Canis lupus familiaris: one gene and its partner. The protein of the gene in region 2 interacts with the protein of the main gene of each other region in a biochemical or structural test. Links are inferred from orthologs where the notes say so. Each region holds a gene or a part of one and is shown on either strand. Other genes may lie near its edges.

Region 1 (5,379 bases), on a different chromosome or scaffold from region 2:
TCCTCAGGACCACTATCTATTTAAGAACTGAATGGTTGGGGGGGTGGGGACTGTGTAAAGAAATAAGTTGAGGACTTCCGGATGTTTGAGAGCTTGTTAGGATTAATTACGAGGTCTTTCCTACCCAAACACAATAAGCATTATTTTCTCCACCCATTTCCTGAGTCAAATGAAAAGGTTGCAAGGTGGAGCCTGGCTGGCTGGGCAAGTTTGGTGGCTGTTTTATGAACAAACCCCCTGGCAATGGGCAAAGAGACACCTTGGTGGTGGTGGTGCTCTTATATCAGCCAGGGGCAAAGCAGACGGGCAGTCCTGTGTTCATCCTAGCTTGATGCCTGGATTGGTGGCCAGAGCTGTTTCATGCCTAGGGCACATAAAATTTTAATGAGACCTTTCTTGGGTCTTGGTGGAGAAAGGGTCAGAAATGCTAGTCTCATAAGTAGGATATTAGTTTTATGGTGAGTTTAGGATGATTCTATGCTTATCGGTGAATTGAGGTAAGGTACTGTAAGTGAAGAGTTCTGGAAGAATTCAGTAGGGCCTTAATGTATGTGCAGAACATGCTCTTTTAAAAAAAGCGAACGGGGATCCCTGGGTGGCGCAGCGGTTTGGCGCCTGCCTTTGGCCCAGGGCGCGATCCTGGAGACCCGGGATCGAATCCCACATCGGACTCCCGGTGCATGGAGCCTGCTTCTCGCTCTGCTTCTCTCTCTCTCTCTCTCTCTGTGACTATCATGAATAAATAAATAAAAAAAAAAATCTTAAAAAAATAAAAAATAAAAAAAATAAAAAAAGCGAACGTGTCACCTAGCACAGGTTCTGTGGCAGGAGTTCAGTAGGACACGGGTAGATGGCCTTCCATTCATAAAACTAGTTGGAGTGAGATCAAATCAATGGGTCGTCATGGCTTTTAGAAAGGGCTGTTAGTGTGAATCCTTGTATTCTTAGGAGCCAGACCAAGCTCAAATCCTGAGCCTGCCACTTACTGGCAGTGTGATCTTAAGTGAAGTATCTGCCTGTTTCTTGTCTGAAAAGTGAGTTTAATGGTGCACGTCTGAGTTGGAGAGAACACTAGAAGCATTTTATTTATTTATTTACTTACTTATTTTTTATTTTACTAGAAGCATCTTAAACGGGACCTGCCTTGATCATAGCTCATAATTGGGTACATTTTTTTTTTTCTGAGTCCAGATACAGAAGGTAGTCATGGCATTAGGAGATTACATGGGTGCTTCCTGCCATGCCTGCATTGGGGGGACCAATGTACGTGCTGAGGTGCAGAAGCTTCAGATGGAGGCTCCTCATATCATCGTGGGCACCCCGGGTCGTGTGTTTGACATGCTGAACCGGAGATACCTATGTGAGTCTGGCTGTCCTCTTTAACCCTCCCACTCGTGCCTTCCCCCCCCCCCCCCCCCCTTCGCAGTGTCCTCCTCTGACGGGCTAGCATGCACCTGGGAAAGAGTTGCTCTGTGATGAGCCCATGCGTGTCATCTGAGCCTGGCTTCCCCGTCCTCAGCCCCGGGGAGTGTTCTACTTCCCTGGCCTGTCAGCTGGCCTCGTGTGGGAGTCTTGGCAAAGGATCAGCCTTCGTATCCTGAGAGCAGATCTCTTGTTCCTTAGTGTTCTCGATCAGGAACTTGAAGTTTGGTTTCCTGGTTCCCTCACTACTGTCCATTGGGGTTTTCTCCTCTTGTAGCTCCCAAATATATCAAGATGTTTGTACTGGACGAAGCTGATGAGATGTTAAGCCGTGGATTCAAGGACCAGATCTATGACATATTCCAAAAGCTCAACAGCAACACCCAGGTGAGAAAGGGGTTCACAGACTCTAGTGGGCGGTCAAGGTTTCCTTTGTAGGTGGCTGTGTGGTGGGGGTCACAGCAGCAGCACATGCTGCAGGAGCCACAAAGAATCCGGGGGCCTCAAGCCTTTTCATGCCCTAGCTTCTGCATTAGGCGACAACTTACTTGCTTGCTAGGGGAGGGGGGGCCAGCCTGGAGGATCCCCTACCCCAAGGCTGCTCTTTCCCATTAGGTGGTTTTGCTGTCTGCCACGATGCCTTCTGACGTGCTTGAGGTGACCAAGAAGTTCATGAGGGACCCCATTCGGATTCTGGTCAAGAAAGAAGAGTTGACCCTCGAGGGCATCCGCCAGTTCTACATCAACGTGGAGCGAGAGGTGGGGCCCGGTGCAGGGGGGGGCTTGCCTGGCTGTACATCCCTGGGTAGAGCCCCTCACTGATCTCCTTCCCCCTCCCAGGAGTGGAAGCTGGACACGCTGTGTGACTTGTACGAGACTCTGACCATCACACAGGCAGTCATTTTCATCAACACCCGAAGGAAGGTGGATTGGCTCACCGAGAAGATGCACGCCCGAGACTTCACCGTGTCTGCCATGGTGCGTTCTCTCCCTTGTTCCCCGTAGTGCCCGTGTGCCTGGGCCTCCGAGCCTGTGCGCCTGTGACACGCGCCCTCCCCTCTGGTCCCCACTATAGCACGGAGACATGGACCAGAAGGAGCGAGATGTTATCATGAGGGAGTTCCGCTCGGGCTCTAGCAGAGTACTGATTACCACTGACTTGCTGGTGAGTAGGGAATGGAGAACCCTGGGAAGGAGGGAGGACCCAAGCTGATTCCCTCTCCAGGGGGCTTGCTTGTGCCCCCCTCAGGAAAGTAGCAACTTGGAATAAAATGTGACATGCCTCAGGGTGCTGGGAAGAGGGGCTGCTGTTTCCTTTGCCTTCCCTTTGGCTGCCTACACACACAGCGGTCCCTGCTACGCGCACTGGTCCCCCACCCTTCCTCCTGCTGACCTGTCCTCTCCCGACCCAGGCCAGAGGCATCGATGTGCAGCAGGTGTCTCTAGTCATCAACTATGACCTTCCTACCAACAGGGAAAACTATATCCACAGGTAAGTGCAGATCTAAAATGTTCCCTCCCCCAGCCCTGAGCTCAGGCTCTGTCCTGCCCCCATCCTGAGCCAGACTGAACCTGTCCTATTCTCACCAGAATCGGCCGTGGTGGACGATTTGGCCGGAAGGGTGTGGCTATTAACATGGTGACAGAAGAAGACAAGAGGACTCTTCGAGACATCGAGACTTTCTACAACACCTCCATTGAGGAAATGCCCCTCAATGTTGCTGACCTCATCTGAGGGGTGGTCCTGCTACCTAGCCTGACCCTGGCCTCAGTCTGGGGGGGGCAGAAGAGCAGGAGGGGGGAGGGAAGGGAGCCAAGGGATGGACATCTTGTCATTTTTTTCCTTTTTTTTTTCTTTGAATAAATGTCACTTTTTGAGGCAAAAGAAGGAACGTGAACATTTTAGACACCCTTTTCTTTGGGGCAGGCTCTTGCTCCAGGCGCCGTCTCTTCTCCCAAAAACACTAATCCATCTCCGTAACCTAGTCAACCTCCAAACCCCAGAGGCTCTCCCCCACCCCAGCTACGTGCCTCTTCAGAGGCTGCCAGGGGCCATAGTGTCACTCAACCTCATTTGCTGGACCAAATCTGGAGAATCCCAGAGTTAAATGGCCCAGAGGATTGTCCCCAGGTGGGGGGGAGCAGGGGAGAAAAAGTGGTAGCCATTTTTACATTGTTTTGTATAGTATTTATTGATTCAGAAAACAAACACAAAATTCTGAATAAAATGACTTGGAAACTGCCTGTTTGGGCTTCTCATTTCTTGCCTCCCCTTCCCTCCCACCTGTGTCCCAGGGCCTCCCTGGCTGGGGCCACCACTCCACCCCCAGTTCATAGTCCCTCAAGTTTCCCTTGGGTTTCCTTTTTTTGTTATCCTCTCCCTGCTGACCCGCTAGTGGGGTAGCATTTGTTGGCTAGTGACCCACTCTAAAGGCCAAGACGCAAGCACCATCATAAGTGCCTCACATGTTCTGTCAAGAGGAAGTGACAAATGGAAAAGAGGGAATAGAAACACTTAACCCCTAGAACTGGAGGACATAAGCAAGGGGTGGGGTGCTGTTCCCCGCTGGTTCTGTAACCCCTCCGGCCCACCAAACAGGCTGAAGTAGACAAGTAGGTCCGCAAGGACCAACTGTCCCCAAACTCCGCATCTACCTGTGATATTGAGGCTGGTGACCCATCCCCTCACTTGGTGACGGGTTCAATGACTAAGTGATTGGTGGCTGGGGCTGAGGTGCCTGAGTCAGGCTGGGGGTGGACTGGGCTGCCACAGGAAGTCAGACACTTAATTCCTCTTCCAAAAGAAGGCAGAGGCTACAGGCTGGTGTTGAACACACCGTCCCGCACCGACTGGGGTGAGGCCGATCGGTTATGAGGCCAGCCGTGTTTTTCTTGGGGGCCTTGGTGGGGCTGCTAGCAGGTAAGGGGGGGCCCGAGGGGAAGGGGCTCAGGGGGACACTGCCCCATTGCTAACCAACCCTCCCCTCTGCTCCAAGCCCAGGGGACCCGGAGCGACTGTCCCCATAAAAAGTCGGCCACCCTGCTGCCCTCCTTCACGGTGACCCCTACGGCTACAGAGAGCACAGGAAGCCCTGGGACCACCAGCCACAGCACCACCACCGCGGAGACCACCAGCCATGCGCCCAACACCACCACTCACCAGGCCCCGACAACCCCGGGGCACAGAAACACCACCATTCACCCAACCACGAGCAACAGCACAAGCAACACCACGGGCACCACGGGCACCGGCAAACCCCACACCTCCACCAGCTACACCCAGCCGGGGCCAGGGCCAAGGCCACCACCTCCCAGTCCCGGCCCTGGCCCCCAGGACGCCATAGGAGACTACACTTGGACTACGGGTTCCCAGCCCTGCGCCCGGCTCCAAGCCCGGATTCAGATCGGGGTTGTGTACCCAACCCAGGCCGGAGGCCAGGTAGAGCCACCCGTGGGGGCAGGGGTGAGGTCGCTCACCGCACTGCAGAAGGAAGAAGAGAGAAGGGGGCACGCAGGGAGGGGATGGAGGAAACAGGGAACCCCGGGCGGCTGCAGCCTTCAAAACCTCTTTTTAACCGCTACAGGCCTGGGGCATCTCGGTGCTGAACCCCAACAGTACCAAGCCCTGGGGGGACTGTGACGGGGCCCGCCCCCATCTGCTTCTCTCCTTCCCTTTCGGGCAGCTCAGCTTCGGGTTCACACAGGTACCTCCCCACCCCGGCCCCCTCGTGTCCCCCTATCCCCCCACCCTTTGCTGTGCTGGGGGCTCCGGCCACTCTCAGCCTTCCTGGTCGCCTTCGCAGGAGCCGCAGCAGGGTTCAGTCTACCTCGACTACCTGGCTCTGCAGTACAACGTGTCCTTTCCGCAGGCGGCGCGTGAGTCACCCGCCCTCGGGTCGCTTGCCCTGAATGTCCGGGCTCCTGAAAGGGGATCTAAATCGGGGTGGCGGGGACAAG
Region 2 (5,711 bases):
AGTGTGTTGTTTAAATGATGCATATGTATAAACAAACAAAAACATACATGTATTAGAGGTACATACTCAAAATTTTTCCTGATAGATGATCAAAAAATTTTGGAAACCACTGCCATAAAGAACAGACTAATCCTTTCCTAGAATATAAATGAAAAACAGCTACAAAAACTTCCCAAATTCACGTTACATGGGCTCCCACCAACCACGGAACAAGTGTCACTGGGAATGTTTATTAACAGGCCCCTCAAACTTGTATCTGATCCTATATTCTTTGGCATGGCAAGGAATTCCAACTCTCATCAATAGGATAAAATGCTCCCTGCTCCACCCCCCCTACGCACCCAACACCAGTTATATATTAAGCACCAATCTCTACTACCTACTAACCCTATCATTTTTAGATCAAGAAATAAGGCTAGGAAGGATCTAGGAATTTGTAGGTGAGTTTAGGTGCTCCCTGGGACTCACTCTCACCTGACTCCTTCCCCTGCTTACCGTAAGTCCCAAACTCTGTAGGGCTTGCACTCGGATAGAAGCCTGGGGCTCCTGGCTGTACAGGATACTGCTGTGTCGGGACAACATATGTGGAACGCCCCTGGTGGGGAAGGGGGAAGAGGAGGGGAGAGGAGTTGAGGGAGCTATGAGTACCCTATCAGGCCAAAGAGAATGCAGAGCAAGACAGGACAAGCCAACTGTGGGCAATGACCAGAAGAAGTCCCACCTCTGGAGAAGAGATGGGACTGGAGGATCAGGGTAAAGGGAGAGGAGGATTGAGGTTTAAAGGTTCCATGGCTTCCAGCCCCCAAGCCTCCAACCTCACCTGTCCAGGGATGTAGTAGGCCCCTTGGGAGGCTGAGTAGGAGATCTGGGAAGGGATCATCATTACTTGGGATCCAGCAGGGTAGACATGGGCAGCTGGGCCAGGGCGGGCGGGGGCTGCACTCTGCACTCGGGTGGCTGCACTGCTCGGGGGCTGGGCCCGGCTAGGGTAGAAGTGCTGTCAAGAGGGAGGAAGGCAGTTGGCGTTGGGAAAGGGAGGAAGTGGACATCCAAAATGGCCACTCCGCCATGTCTCTAGTCTGGAGAAAAATACTGGGGGCTTTGGAGCACGGGGGCCAATCCTCACCCACTTAACCAAACTGATGGTTAGGTGGCCTCTTGTACTCACACATACCCTCCACACTGAGGTATGCGCTTTGCACTCCACGAATATTTACTCCCTCACTACCGTGAATACTCATGTCACCTCTACCAGGCTACCCCTCTGCAAAGGCTTCCTAACACCCAGATGCATCATGCCCAAGTAAAGCCCTTTTGAGCAACATACTCCCCAGCATGCATTGCTCCACCCTAAGGTACAGAGGAGCTAACCACTAACATGCAACAGTCTCCCAGTTCCCAGATTTGCAATCTGCAAGATCTAGCCTCTAGCATGCATCAGTCAGTGTCAGACTGAGAACCTTAACAGCAAACATGTCCCCACCCTGAAGACCCCCCAGTCCCTGTGTCTAGCCCTTGACTAGGGTAGAGGTGAAGGGTGAGACCGTGAGAGGGTCCAGAATTAGCAAAGGGGTATTACCTGCAGAGACCTGAATCCTCCCTGAGAGCACATGGGGACAGGAGAGAAGAGAATTATCCCCAAGGTGATGAGAGAGAAAACAATGAAGGAAGTAGGACAAGAATGTCCCCACTTAGTGAGGAAGAATTTAGGGAACAGAGAAAGGCAAGAACCAGATGGAGTGTTTATCTCGCCACAGTCCAAAGAGAAAGAAGGGAAGGGGAGCGGAGCGGAGCAATCACAACCTCCCAGGAAAAGGAGGAAATAGGAACAGGAGTTGGCAGCAGGGCCCGAAGCGCTGCTCCCAATTCTCAAGGCACCAGGACCCCTAGTAATGCCACCCCCACCGACTACATACTCCCCAAGGGGCCAGCCACCGTAAGTAATCAACAGCACAAAGTGCAGAGCCGCATGAAAGAACACAGAGCAACTGTCAGGAAATTGGGGCAGGTACAGGGCCTCCACAGTTTCCATCCTCGGCCCGAACTGGCCTAACCTTTCCATGGCTCCCACCCAGGCCCCCTACTCCCCTCCCCAGAGCCCCTCACCTGGCGGGGCTGAGAAGGCGTGTTCATTTGTGTCGCTTGTGGCGTACTGAACACCACCGGTGCTGTCTGCCCCGGGGGAAACGCAGGCTGAAGGGGGGAGACCAGAGTTCAGCAAGAGGGGAAACCCGGGTGGGGCAGAAACCTAAGCTGGTAAAGTAAGGGGAGCAGACCTGTGGCAAGAGCTTCAGCAGTCCACATGCCCCCTCTTCCCCATGACAGCCCCTGGGAACAGCCCAGGGGCCCTGTCTCAATTTGGCAGCAGGAAGCTGCACTTTGCCCTGACACAGATGGGGGTGGGAAAATCCAGAGGTTGGAACCTGTTCCTGACCAGCTGCCTGATCTCCCCCACCCCCACCCCAGTCTCTGCTAATTCCTCCCTAATTACCTGTGGGAGTCCAGGGGATGGGGCAGGTGGGGGGCCTGTGGGCTGTGGAGCTTTGTTCATTTCATTTGGTGCCACATCAGGGTCCCCCCAGCACCTGTTGGGAAAGAGTGGAGCTCGGAAAGGGGAAGGGACCCAAGCTGAAGGCAAGCGGAGTGGGGGAAGGGTTGAACCAAGGGCTGGGTCCCACACCGAGTCTCGGAGGTGCGACCGGGGTGAAGGAGCAGAAAAGATCCAGCTTACGTCCCCACCAACACGTTGTCAAACCCGCATCACCTCCAACCACCCCCCTGGTCTGCTCAAACAGCCCCCTCACTCACCCCCTCGGTTAAGAATAAGTCCACGGTGCGGCCTACAGGTTCTGGGCATCCGAGGGCCTGGGGTTGGGAGGTGAGGGGTATCAACCTGGCTCCGCGGGGCCCAAGACCAACCAGACCGGAAATTCCAGGTCTCGCTGGCACCAGGCTCCCGGATCACAAACGGAGCTAGCAGCTTCGGCCGTGGTGTCCCCACCCCCCACCTGGGGACACCGGGTTCGGGGCCAGGCCCGGGGGCACACAAGGCACGCCTGCTGCGGGTGGCCGCGGGGGCGCCCGCACGGGGCCGGTCGCGAGGCCTGCCGCCGCCCAGGACTGGAGGCCAGGAAGGGCGGGAGTCGGGCCCTAAAAGGCCAGGCGGGCGGCGGCCGAAGAGAAGCCGGTTCCTAGCAAGCGAGGGTCGGCCCGGAGGGCGGGCGGGGCCGGGGGCTCCTCCCTGCCCGCCGCTGCCGCCTCCCTCCCCTGCGCCCTCCCTGCGCAGCGCCGGCCAGTGCCAAAGAACAACGTGTCACTTCCCGGCGGCCGGGCCGCAAAGGGGGGAGGGGGCGGTGGGCCGGGAGCCGCGGTGCCTGCGCCCGCGGGGCCCCCTCGGGTCAGGCCGGGGTGGCACCTCGCGGCCGGCGAACCCGGCGCCCCAGCAGCCCGCGGGGACCGCACATTCCGGCCCCGCGCTCCCCCACCCCCACCCAGCAGCCAGGCCGGGCCAGGCCGGGCACACGTGGGCCAGGGATCGGGCCCTGGCGGGCCGGGGCCCGGGCTTGGGCCGCGGGGCCAGGGCGCCGGGGCGGCGGCGCAGGGTGGCCGGTCCCGGCCCGGATGGCGGCGGATGCGGGGGGAGGGGGTGGGGGGGCCGGGTCGGGCCCGGACATGGCGGCTTTACCTTCAGTCTCCTTCAGTCCGCGCGGCCGAGCCCCACGCAGCCGCACAGACGTAGTCCACAACCATTTCCGGCTCCCCGCACAGATCCCGCTCGGCGGCCACCGCTTCTCCGCAGGCGCAGCCGGCGCCCCCACGTGACCGGCGCAGGGGGCGGAGCCGCGCCCGGCGCCGCGGAGTACGGCCCGCTCGCCCAGCCCCGTCACGTGACAGCCGCTGCCCGCCCCCTTGTCCCCTCCCGAACTTTGGAACTTCCAGACCGACCCCCCTCTGCGTCTCTATTCCGCGGTTCTTTTAGTTCATTCATTCTTTGAACGGGCATTTATTGAGTGCATGCTAAGTACCAGGCGAGGTGCTGGCGGGGGAGGGAGGGCGTGCTGAGAATGCCGAGATTTGTTACTCGGTCCTGCCTAAATAAGTCACGATACAAATGCGCAAAGAAGTACACACTGGGCAGCCTTTGAAAATAAAGCGATTGAAATACTTACTAAGTTGAATGCGAGGCTAAAAAGGATTGAAACATTTTAAGGAACTAGTTAAGAGTCGATCTTTTGCTTTACAGAGATCAGCCACTCCCAGGGAGGGACAGAAGTCAGTCACGGAAAATTCAGAATAACGAAGGAAGAAGTAATCCCAAAATTCCTGCCCTGCAGCCAAAAGACTTTTGGCACCCGGAGGAATCGCCCTAGAGCCAAATCCAGGTACTCAGATATCCGAGGTTTTAATCCAAACCCTACTTCCTGGCCAGGTCACTTACTACCTACTATTACCTATTCTTGTAAAATGGGAAGGCTGGAAACCAGGCAGTCTGGCTCAAGTCCGAGCTTTTAACCGCGGTGCTTTCTCTCACAATAACATCCACACTATTGGATTGTGAAGATTAGAGTTAATTTATGTGAAAAGGGCTCGAAACGGTGCCTATGTGCTTACATACGTGGCAAAGACACTCTTGTGCACGATCTGTGGGTGTGCATGTGTGTATGTGCACACATACAATCTCAGAAGAAAACATTTTCTCTGTACCAATGATAATGTGGTCAATTAATATATATGACCTATGTGATCTCAATCTTCACAATTTTCTATAAAAACAGATTGCATTGGAGCACCTGAGTGGCTCAGTGGTTGAGTGTCTGCCTTTGGCTCAGGCGGTGATCCTCCTGTCCTGGGATCGAATCCCACATCGGGTTCCTTGCAGGGAGCCTGCTTCTCCCTCTGCCTGTGTCTCTGCCTCTTATTTATTCACAAGAGACAGAGAGAGAGAGAGAGGCATGAGTGAATTATTCACTCTCATGAGTGAATAAATAAAATCTCTTAAAAATTGTGTTGTTCTTACCGCTGTATATGAGGACCTGGAGCTCCAAAGGACAGCAAAATAAATTCATGCAGGAGGAATCATAGTGAGTGAAAATGCAGATCTAGCGTTCTCTGACTCTTCATTCTGTGACTACTCTTCTCATTTCTTTCTCCCTAAGCAAGCTAATATATAAAAATCAATTACTGCCCACCTGCCAATCTGTTCCTAACCTGAAACCTATCTCTCGAACTCCAGTTACAACAAGGTACCACTCCACCGGATCATCCCACCGGCATCTCAAGTTGTGTATGCCCACACAGGAACCTGTCATCTCTCCTTACTCAACGGTCCTTCACTGCAACTTTGTACATGTTAGTGCCCATGTATTCTTTTTTAAGATTTTATTTATTTATTTATCAGAGATTCACAGAGAGAGGCAGAGACATAGAGGGAGAATCAGGCTCCTTGTAGGGGGCCCAATGTGGGACTCAATCCCAGGACCCCAGGATCACACCCTGAGCCGAAGGCAGATGCTCAACCACTGAGCTACCCAGGCATCCCCCTGTATTCTTTTTTAATGAGTAGTGCCCAACCTGAAAACCTAGGATTCATCCTACATTCCTTCCCATCCATGTACTACCTCTAATCAGTCACTAGGTCCTCTTGGTATTTGCATCAAATTCAAGTCCTATTGATTTTACTTTTTTTTTTTTAATTTTATCTTTAAAAAAAT

The links.
Region 1: the proteins of EIF4G1 (region 2) and EIF4A1 form a complex in vitro, tested with the Homo sapiens proteins (3 studies listed by IntAct, with this or other methods). The link is inferred for Canis lupus familiaris from reciprocal best matches to the Homo sapiens genes EIF4G1 and EIF4A1.

What each region holds. Positions count from the first base shown.
Region 1 is NC_049226.1:32,705,488-32,710,866, forward strand, and holds the end of EIF4A1 (eukaryotic initiation factor 4A-I), read left to right. Parts: intron 1-232; exon of another isoform or gene 233-377; intron 378-1,191; coding exon 1,192-1,360; intron 1,361-1,467; exon of another isoform or gene 1,468-1,605; intron 1,606-1,699; coding exon 1,700-1,809; intron 1,810-2,037; coding exon 2,038-2,181; intron 2,182-2,262; coding exon 2,263-2,400; intron 2,401-2,497; coding exon 2,498-2,587; intron 2,588-2,624; exon of another isoform or gene 2,625-2,765; intron 2,766-2,834; coding exon 2,835-2,914; intron 2,915-3,012; coding exon 3,013-3,157; 3' UTR 3,158-3,665; downstream 3,666-5,379. Other genes in the region: CD68 (macrosialin), read left to right, coding at 4,294-4,342, 4,419-4,861, 5,007-5,126, 5,226-5,298. UniProt on the Homo sapiens protein: ATP-dependent RNA helicase which is a subunit of the eIF4F complex involved in cap recognition and is required for mRNA binding to ribosome.
Region 2 is NC_049255.1:17,362,747-17,368,457, reverse strand, and holds the start of EIF4G1 (eukaryotic translation initiation factor 4 gamma 1), read right to left. Parts: upstream 3,832-5,711; 5' UTR 3,686-3,831; intron 2,866-3,685; 5' UTR 2,809-2,865; intron 2,586-2,808; 5' UTR 2,552-2,585; coding exon 2,492-2,551; intron 2,254-2,491; exon of another isoform or gene 2,194-2,253; coding exon 2,107-2,193; intron 1,601-2,106; coding exon 1,580-1,600; intron 998-1,579; coding exon 821-997; intron 596-820; coding exon 496-595; intron 86-495; exon of another isoform or gene 67-85; intron 1-66.